Regions from separate parts of the Mus musculus genome. Here region 2 is reported to be linked to region 1. The links are microRNA targets in miRTarBase. Many come from high-throughput screens and were not tested one by one. Region 1 holds a microRNA gene; the other region holds the end of a gene's coding sequence.
Evidence for each region. The annotated mature microRNA mmu-miR-682 reads CUGCAGUCACAGUGAAGUCUG and lies in region 1 at 1,738-1,758, shown strand. An mRNA with a match to its seed (bases 2 to 7 or 8) in the 3' UTR can be bound and repressed. Matches are read on the target gene's strand: a 7mer-m8 pairs with bases 2 to 8, a 7mer-A1 pairs with bases 2 to 7 and ends in A, and an 8mer does both.

Region 2: miRTarBase lists Ptpre as a target of mmu-miR-682. Seed matches in the 3' UTR shown: 7mer-A1 at 3,275-3,281.

What each region holds. Positions count from the first base shown.
Region 1 is chr13:75,643,382-75,648,456 of GRCm38, forward strand. It overlaps Mir682 (microRNA 682), which reads left to right and starts at 1,665; the gene lies at 1,665-1,760. It also overlaps the pseudogene Gm4149.
Region 2 is chr7:135,682,965-135,688,039 of GRCm38, forward strand. It overlaps Ptpre (protein tyrosine phosphatase, receptor type, E), which reads left to right. Exons shown (of 21, transcript NM_011212.3): 21 at 268-3,330. The coding sequence ends at 342. Among named protein-coding and RNA genes, the nearest start is that of Mki67, 31 kb to the right of the region's middle.

The DNA.
Region 1 (5,075 bases):
AAGGAAAACTAGGAATGGATGGGGAGGATGGCAAAAGAAATAATGAGCCAAGACAAAATTCTCTGATCAAGGCTCAATGTTTATTTCTAAGGTCTGAAATTTAAAGGGGGGAGAACACATCCCCCACTTTGCCAGGATCTCATTGCTTTACCATGATCTTGTCAGGAAGACAAGCTCAGCTGCTCAGAAGGTACTGGCTTCTTGCAGGAAGCTGCAAATGTGGCAGGACAATAGACTTCACCTAAGTCGGAAGACTCCACCCTAGGTGGGCTAGCTGACTATGGCAAAACAAGGTCTGAACTAGCCTGCCTAAGTCTGAGGAAAAGGCACAGTTCCTCCCTTTTTATTTATTAAAAATTAGCTGGACTAGAGCATAAGATTTACTTATGCTCCATGGTCCTGCCTGGGAATTAAGGTAGCTGGCAACCACACCTGGCTTGGGACTAAACTATACTTTCTTTTACCCATCCTGGAGCACATGCACAGCTTGTTTGTGTTTATTTGCATAAATACAAACTTTTAGTGTTTATTATGAACAAACACTGCCTCTTGACACATGCCTCTGTGTTAGGTTAATAAAAGTCATAGAACATCAGTGGCCCATCTTTGACTGCCAGCCCTCATAGCACACCTTTTTTGCATTCAGACTAAAGTCACAATATGCATTTCTTCATAACGATGAATAACTGCCATAACTGAGCTTTGTTGAAGGCCAGCCTGTATGGAGGTAACCAATCTGCTTAAAATACAAAGTCAAAAGTTAAAAGTAATAGGATTAAGGTTGTCTGTGGAAGAATGTGCCAAGCACTCAATTCAATTGTAAATTAGCAATGATCAGACACAAGGCCTCCACTCCCAGTGTTGGGGAGGTGGCTTTGAGAATCAACAGAAAAAACTGTTACTTCTCAGGTAATGGTGGAGGCTATGCTCCAAATTAATTCAGCTGACTGATAAAGATTTCTAGCCAGCTTCATAATTGGAATCAAACTTACTAGAAGACTCAGAATCTGTGTCTTCTTGACAAACTAATCTTTCAGGCAGTCATTGGGCTCTGTCTTCTCTTTTGTGAAAAAATAGACAGAACCTCGCCCCCATATTAAAACAGAGTCAGGACCATTCCATGTATTAGTTAGGGGGTCCTGCCATTTAACCATGGCATATGAGCTGGAAGTGACTGGATGCCAATGACGATCCACTGCAGCCTGACCTTTAGCATCAGTTTGCAAAAAAATTAAAACAAATAAGACAGAGGCAAGATGTGCTTTTGGTGACCTTGAAGATTATAAGACCCCCTTTTTATTTTTAAAGAAGATATTGTTTTAAAGTTCACCAATACCTTGTCCTTGAGAATTATAAGGAATCCCAGTAATATGGGTAACGTTAAATTGTTGACAAAACATCTCAAATGCTTGACTGTAATAGCCAGTTCCATTATCTGTTTTAATCTGATTTGGAACATCAAGCATAAAAAATATTGCAGGAGCTCTTCGGACTTGGGCTTGGGTTCCGGCGACATGGCTAAACGCACCAAGAAGGTCGGCATCGTCGGCAAGTACGGGACCCGCTATGGTGCCTCCCTCCGGAAAATGGTGAAGAAAATTGAAATCAGCCAGCACGCCAAGTACACTTGCTCCTTCTGTGGCAAGACCAAGATGAAGAGACGAGCCGTCGGCATCTGGCACTGTGGTTCCTGCATGAAAACAGTGGCCGGCGGGGCCTGGACCTACAACACCACCTCTGCAGTCACAGTGAAGTCTGCCATCAGAAGACTGAAGGAACTGAAAGACCAGTAGAAGCCCTGCTGTCTGAGACTTGCCTAGCCTGCAATAAACGGGTTATTTACGTAAAAAAAAAAAAAAAAAAAAAAATATTGCAGGAAATGACTAATTGCAGTTGCAACTAGAAAGCCTGGAAAGGTGTCAATAATCATATGTACATATTTTATTTTTCTAAAATCAGAAATATGAGTGTCCATTTGCAATAATTGATTAAATATAAGTCATCAAGAATTAACATCATTATGTGGAACATGTAGAAATTGAGGACACTGAGAATAAGTTTACAATTTGACATGCACATTCTCTAAAAATACCAAATTATTATCTCAAGCCATTACTATCTTGATGATGTAAAGAGTGAGATTATATGTACAATTATTCCTATGTAAGACCTATACTCTGTGTGGGATAAAAATATGCTGTGGTATTGCCTTAAGTGGTCTGGTCCAGGCAGTCATTGATAAGCTCTTAAATGTCTAAAGGCAGTCTTTTAAAGGAACAGTACTTTCTCTTGAGTTGTATATGCATAAAGAATTGCAATTTTTGAAAATTAGCAGTATCTAGAAAAGGAACAATTTCAAGCAATTGTAAGCCCTGATTATATATATATATAATAAATATATATATAGGCTATCTGAATACAAATAAAAAACTAGATTTCAACACTTTAAAAACAGTGACTACAGCAATTATTTCCATTATTTGTGCTGAAGTATCCAATCACATATACTTCTCTCCCATACAAGGGCTGTTTATAAATACAGTAGATGCATTCTTTATGGCATGCATACATAAATTTACAGGAAATGCAAAAGCATGCATAAAGCAAATTTTAACAACTTATCTTTTGGATAATGATTATCAATTTCGCCTAAAATGTTTGCTATGCAATAGGCCAAATATCAGTATTCTTTAATAACCAATTTAATTGCTGATTGAAACAAGGAATAGATGTCTCATCAGGTTTCTAAAGGCATCCTTTCCAAAATACTTTCTTGATTCTATCCTACAATTCTTTATTAACACCACAGCAGCTTCATAGTAGGATTTTAAACTTTACTTGGAGATGAAGAAGGATGGATGAATCAACATTAACGCTCTCTTTTGCCAAAGAATTGCTGTGGGCACATTGCGTAGCAATAACTAAAATAAGCAGCTAACAATTGATTTAAAAAGCTTCCTCTACTTTCTGCAAAGCTATTTGTCTCTCACCAGTTAATTTGCATCCCCCCCCCCCTTGACAACATTCAACAAAGGCTTAAGTCCTCCTGTTTTGAGCTTAAGGTGAGGTCTTAGCCAATTAACATCTCCTAGAAGCTTTTGAAAATAACTTGAAGTAAGCAAATCATCTTTTCCTTCTTGAATTTTCTGTGCCATACCTTTTCTAGGATATAACTGAGGCCCCAAATATTGAAAAAGATATTGCCTCAAAATCTTCCTGGAGCAACAACTATCCCCAAAACTTTAAAGTTAGTTGTATAAAGAGCTAAGGTAGTAAAATTCCCCTTCAGAAGGATTATCTAATAAAATACTCTCCACATAATAAACAATATACACCGAAAGATTCAAGGTCCTAACTTCTTATATTGAAGCAGAGACATTTTTTGTTTGTTTGTTTTATAATGTAAGGCTATTAGCCATTCCTAGAGGCAAAACTTTCCAATGATAACAAACTCACTAGAAGCAAATCCTTTACAATTATCAGGATGCGGAGGAAAAAACAACCTTCCAAATCTATAATAATTCTATTTGGAGTAGGCAGGCCAGATTGTAATGCTTCTACAAGTTCCACAGCCTCACTGACTTTTCATAAATCTTAATTTTAAACTTTATTTTGAACAACACCTGAATAGATCTGTAATAATGCTGTTTTAGCTTAAAAATAATTCCTCAGAAGTGAGGGGAGGTGAGGCCCCAAAAACTTCCCTAGGCAGGGTTTGGAAATCAAAAGAAAGGCCACACAAGCCTGCTGAGGCTGCTCTGCGCTTCATATTAACTCAAATGTAAATATTTCTTAATCTGAGCCTACTACCTGAGTCCTGGCCCAAAGATTACTGCTCCTGCAGTGAGGACAGATTCCAGGGGAACAATTCTACTCCCTGTCTATGCCTCTAACTTTTGGACAGTCTTTCCTAAAATGATTTATATTTAAAGCATTCCTTATAACCTTGTCACTGTGAAAGCATTACTTGTACTGTAGTCCCCTACAAGGCAGCAACCAGAGCCAAACCCCATTTGTATGAGGGTCCAATTTCTGCACAAAGATGAATATATTCAGTTAAATCTGCCTTTGCTTTATATAGCCAGATGGCTGCAGAGAGCTATATTAGCATTCTCATAAGACAATTGTGTAACAAAAGAATCCCTGCTTGAGGGTCTCTGAAAATTCTATAAGCTGTTTTTATAGCCTATCCACAAACTCCTTGAAACAGTTCATCAGGAACCTGTTTGATACCAAATAAATTCTCACTGAGATCTCCTTTCCAACCTTGGAGGGTTAAATTTTGCATCTACCACTGTATCCAATAAAGCTTGTGTAAAAGGAGCTGCACGCAGACCCATGCTGGCCACAGCTGGTTTTTAACTTTTATTACTCTTGTAGTCATCCTAATTACAAAGTATGGGTGAGTTAAGAATCCTGAGCTTGTGATCAAACTACAAACTGCAGCCAGTGGAATGCTGGCAATTTAACCATAATTTTTAAGTTTCTTTTACAATATTAGAACATAACCATAACTTTTAGAAAGCAAAACACAATTTTAAACAATCCATTCTCTTTAAAATCAATATCAAAAGCATCACTTTCACCTTATGAAATTTGGCTGCCAATTCTTACATATGAATGCATGACAGTGCAAGTTTTAATGCTTCATTAAAGAGACATTGTTTTGCTCCAAGCACTGTGGTTAAATAACATCATCTCAATTTTTTATTATCCTTTAAAGATATTGCATTTTCATATTCTTTATTTATAAAGGATCAGTGCTGCTGTAAATACTGGTATTTTTAATGTTTTAATTTCATTCCACCACCATCAGATGCAGTTCCCTGTTTTGTTTAGTTAAGGGACATAAGCTTTCTCATGGTGTCTTCAGAGATTTATAAATGTAAATATTGATTTGGCTGGTCTTTATGATGTGTTTAACTGTGAGGCTATTTAAATAGTGTGGATGTGACTTGTCATCCAGTATTAAGTTCTTAGTTACTGGTTTTTGTGTTTCAAAAAATAAGAAAGAGAGAAGCTGCAGTTTTCGTTGTAGGCTCCCTGGCTGATAAACTCTCCTCACAAGTTCACTG
Region 2 (5,075 bases), not on the chromosome of region 1:
CCAAAGACCATACTGAAAACACACTAGTGTGAACCTAAAAATTGATGTTTTCTGCATGGACAAACAGCTTGGTTTAGAACATGGCTCATGCCTAAAAGGCCCGCTGTGTAACAGAAACTGATGTGTGGGAGGGAGCCCCGGACTTTGATGCATCAGCAGACTGACTGACAACTGGGCTTCTAGCTCATCTTCTGATTACATGCATCAGGTATGTGTGAAGCTGCTTAGTATTAATATATTACTAATATACTCTCATTCTCTTTTCAGGAGCAATATGAATTCTGCTACAAAGTGGTACAAGATTTTATCGATATATTTTCTGATTATGCTAATTTCAAATGAAGATTCCTGCCTTAAAATATTTTTTAATTTAATGGTCAGTATATTTTGTAAAAAAAAAAAAAGAGATCATGTTAATTTATTTCCTAGTGGATATTAATATCCTTCCTAATTCCTTTGTATATATTTTGTTATGTTCTAAAGGCTACCTGCTGTAAGGTTATTAAATTGTAAATGCCCTTTTTAAAAATTGGAATAACATGTTAAGGTCAAATACTATCTGGAAAGATATATATTTCTGCTAACACCAGTCAGTATCTTAGTTCTATTAGATTCATGTTATGTGGTGTCCCACATCAGGTGTCACATGGTGTCACACATCATGCATCTGTAAATGTAGTTCTTAACATGTCAAATGTGTTTGTGAGAAGACACTAACCCCTGAAACCCCCTGTGGAGAAACCAGTAGAGGACTCCGAGTCAGAGCACATTTACTCTCCCCACCAACTGTCGCACCCAGGGCATCGGAATGTGGCAAACAGTGTGCATGGGGGCTTTGGTAGAGTCCTGGGTCTCAGCCATGTGGTCCATCCTTGCATTTGAAAGATCAGAGTGGAAGCAGACACGGCAGTGCATCACTGCACTGCTAGCACGTGGGAGGCTGGGGCATAAGGATTTGGTCCAGGTCAGGCCAGGCCAGCTTGGGCTACAGTGAGACTCTGTAACACAACAAACAACAAACACCCAGAGGGTTTTGAAACCCAAATCCAGGTCTCAGATGTACAAGGTGTAGATGGTGGTGACTTTCCTATGAGTTTTAAAAGGCATTCATGAGAGGCTGTGTAGTGCCACTGTAGGCTTGATAAAGAGATGTGTTATACCAGGCCATCTATTCTCACAGGCCTCCAGTACCCTCCAAACTAGCCATCTGAGCTGTGTTCCTGGAACCACTTGCTGCCTGCCTGTGTGCCTGGCTCAGAATCCACTCAAGCTCATTCCCAACGGCCCGCCCACTGACACAGCTGCCTGTACTGACCCTAATTGGGCCTACAGGCTCAACCACAGCTGCACACACACACACACACACACACACACACGGTAGAATGGCCACAAACTGTTGCACTGTCAATTTGCTGATACTCAACCACAGCTGCACACACACACACACACACACACACACACACACACACACACACACACACACACACGGTAGAATGGCCACAAACTGTTGCACTGTCAATTTGCTGATAGCCATTTCAGGATGTCAGATTTTCTTTGTAAAAAGTTAAGATGGTTTGTAAGAAAGGAATTCTTAAAAATCTAGATTTGTACAGTTTTTTTCTTAAATGTCCCACCTCTTGGTGTTTAATTTTTAAAAATGAGAGGGGGGGAAGATCCTAATCTAACTTACCTTTGGAGGAAAGGCTGCTGAGACCTCTGAGTTCAGGTGGCAGTGACAGGCGCACTGCCTGAGAGGGTAGGTTAGGAGGAGGGAGAGGAGGAGGAGGAATGTAGAAACATTGACTTCAATAAAAATTATCTTCCTATGGCATTTAGATACCTAGCAAATGAGCACAATGTAAAAAAAAAAAAAAAAAGACATCTGGTCTAACTCATTGAAGGCTTTGAACACAGTTTGGGAACTTTTTTTTTAAACTTTTTAAAAGAGAAATGAAAATACAAAGGCCTTATCTCCATGGAGGACTGATCATGCTCGCCTATTGCACAGTTTGTTCTTGTTCGTGTACAAGGGACAACCCCAGGGTCTGTCACTGCTTCATACAGGTGAACGGGTCACCACGCTTATCTCAAGCCCCGCAGCTCTGAGTGTCCCATCCAGAGGCACAAGCTGGCACTCAGCATGCAGGATGAAAGCAGACAGTGGCCACTGTCACCACCACCACCAGCTGCAGGCAGGGCTGGCTGCCTGTGCTTTGTGGGAGCTCCCCTTCTCTGAGCAGCCTTGGAGCACAGGCAGAAGATGGAAGATGGAGGAGCTTTCCCTGGCCAGTGGTCTCATTTGTCTCCATCTTAGACCCAAGCTCAACGCCTTGCTGTAACTGAAGCGGGACAGAGGGCAGTAAGCCCACTAGAATTAAGGTGACCTCACATGGGTCCCAAGCCAAAGTTCGGCCACGCACCTTGGCACCCCAACTTAGTTACTGGTCCTTAGAATCCCAGGCATCTCTTGTATCAAGAAATGCCTTAGGGTAGATCTTTTCAGGATGTCTAGAAAAGTATTCTAATGAGTGTTTTTCCTCACCTTGGGGCTGCCCCAGGTTCTCCTGCAGGCAGAGACCCTGCCTGTTTCTAAACAGCTTGTCTCATTCCAGAGAAAAACAGAAGCCACGCTCCTGTGGGCACAGTTGGGGCAGCACTTGTACTTTGGAGGGGCCAATCCCTCTAGTCTCTTGACTAATGCCATAGCAAAATTCAGCCTCCGTAAGACACAGAGCCTCTGTGTACAAGGGGTCTCCTAGGGGGAGGAGGGCGGTCTCAGCATCTTCTCTGTGTACCTGGCATGTCCTTTTCTTCTTCCTTCAAAGAAGCTCCGGTGTTTATGACACCGACAACCTTCTTAGTTCTCTGTTGCATGCGGTTGTGCTCAACGCCAAACAGTCATCAGAGCTGAGCGTTCTGATCAGGTGCGTCTCTTGGTCACTGTGTGACTTGCTTTACTCTCTCTCCATGGGCTGGATGAACGAGGAATGCACACCTGTGTTTTCCAAGGTAGTTTTATGTGTTTTTAAAACCTTTTTAAATGAGCCTGATACCTGTGTTTCAGCATTTGGCCACGTTGTTGGTTTTTGTTTTTCATGTATATTTACTGATATATTTTTGTTTGTAACCAAGTCATGTTTAATTTATGTGCAATCTTTATAATATGTGTATGTGTTATGGTTCCAACTCTCATATATTATTCCTTGATCACATTTATCGTTTGATCTTGCTCTGATTATGCCAGTGTATGTCGCTGAATTCTTGAGACATGTGAACTGCAAGATTGAAAACATCCGGATTCGAGAATAAATCTCTGACTACCAGCCTGTACCTGTGCTTCTGTCTTCCCATTTAAGTGTGTGTGTGTGTGTGTGTGTGTGTGTGTGTGCACAGAAACATGTGGAGGCCATAGGACAATGGTGAGTGTCAGCTTTAGGAATACTGCCCACCCTCTTTAAGAAAGGGATTTTCACTGGTCCGCAGCTGACCAACTGGGCAAGGCTGGCCAGCCAGTGAGCACCAGAGATTTTCTTATCTGAACTCCCCAGTGCTAGGATTACAGAAGTGTGACACTATTCCCATTTTCTTTATGAGGATTTGGGAGACTGAACTTGGTCCTCATGCTCACAAGCCAAACACTTTACCAAACAAACTATTCCAGTCCCACTGGAGGTCTTTAAAATGTAGGTCTGAGCCGGGCGGTGGTGGCGCACGCCTTTAATCCCAGCACTTGGGAGGCAGAGGCAGGCGGATTTCTGAGTTCAAGGCCAGCCTGGTCTACAAAGTGAGGTTCAAGACAGCCAGGGCTAAACAGAGAAAACCTGTCTCGGGGAAAAACAAAAACAAAAAACAATAAATAAATAAATAAAATAAAATGTAGGTCTGACTTGGCCCAGAAACAGCTTCTAAGGGGAGGTGAGCGCTGGAGCCAAAGAGGCATTAGGTCTTAATGGTCTATGGTAGGCAGGTATCATACAAGAGGCACAGACTTTGACTACCAGTTCAAAGAGTTCATGTTCTGTCAGGGTCCAGGGAGGACCAAGCCTGGAAAGCTGAGAAATTAGCTGTGATGAAGAGCCCGGAATGACTGAGGTGGAATCTTTGTCTGAGTCCTGGCCTGGAAGTTCCCTGTTCAGGACATCATATAAAATCTAGTGCTGAGACTTCGGTGCTCCAAATCTTCCTTCTACCTTCTCAGTGGAGAAAGCCCTCATGACCCAGCTTGACTCCAAGCACTGGCCAAAGGCTACAGGAGCTGCAAGCAGTATTCTATTCTGTTCATCTTAACTACCCTGAGATGGAGCACTGAGAACATCATTCTATAGACCAGAAAACTGCCTGTTAAAGATTTGCCCCAAGTCACATTGCAATCATCAGGCAAGCTGAGATTACATGCTATTAAACTAAATCAGTTTAGTCAAGGGGATGAAAATTGCATTTAGGATGCTGTAGTGGCTATTCCCAGCTGTCAACTTGACTATATTTGGAATGAACTACAATCCAGAATTGGAAGGCTCACCAGTGACCCTAATCTGGAGGCTGGGAGATGGAAGTTTCTGATCTGGATCTTGGTATGGAGATCTTGAGGCATAGTGGCTATGGATTCCAGAAGATTAAGACAGGGAGATCTCTGAGTTCAAGGTCATCTGGGATTAAAGGTGTGGTGGGACAGACCTTTAATCTGGGCTACACCTTCTGCTGGAGACCATATAAGGACATTGGAAGAAGGGAGTCTGGCTCTTGCTCCTTCGCCTGCTTGCCGTGTGGGACTGAGTAACTGCTAGATCTTTGGACTTCCATTCACAGCTTCTACTGAACCATTGTTGGGAATTGGACTACTATAAATCATCAATAAATTCCTTTACTATATAGAGACTATTCCTAAGTTCTGTGACTCTAGAGAACCCTGACTAATACAGATGCCGATTCTCACTAGGTGCCTAGATGCTGCTGACAACTAAGGACCTGCCGTTCCTAACCCGGGACAGTGGCTGCAGTGGAGAGGCCAGGAAGCTTCTTGGAGCTAAGTTCATCATTCCAATGAATACAATTGATGAAGTGCGGGGCTGGGTCAA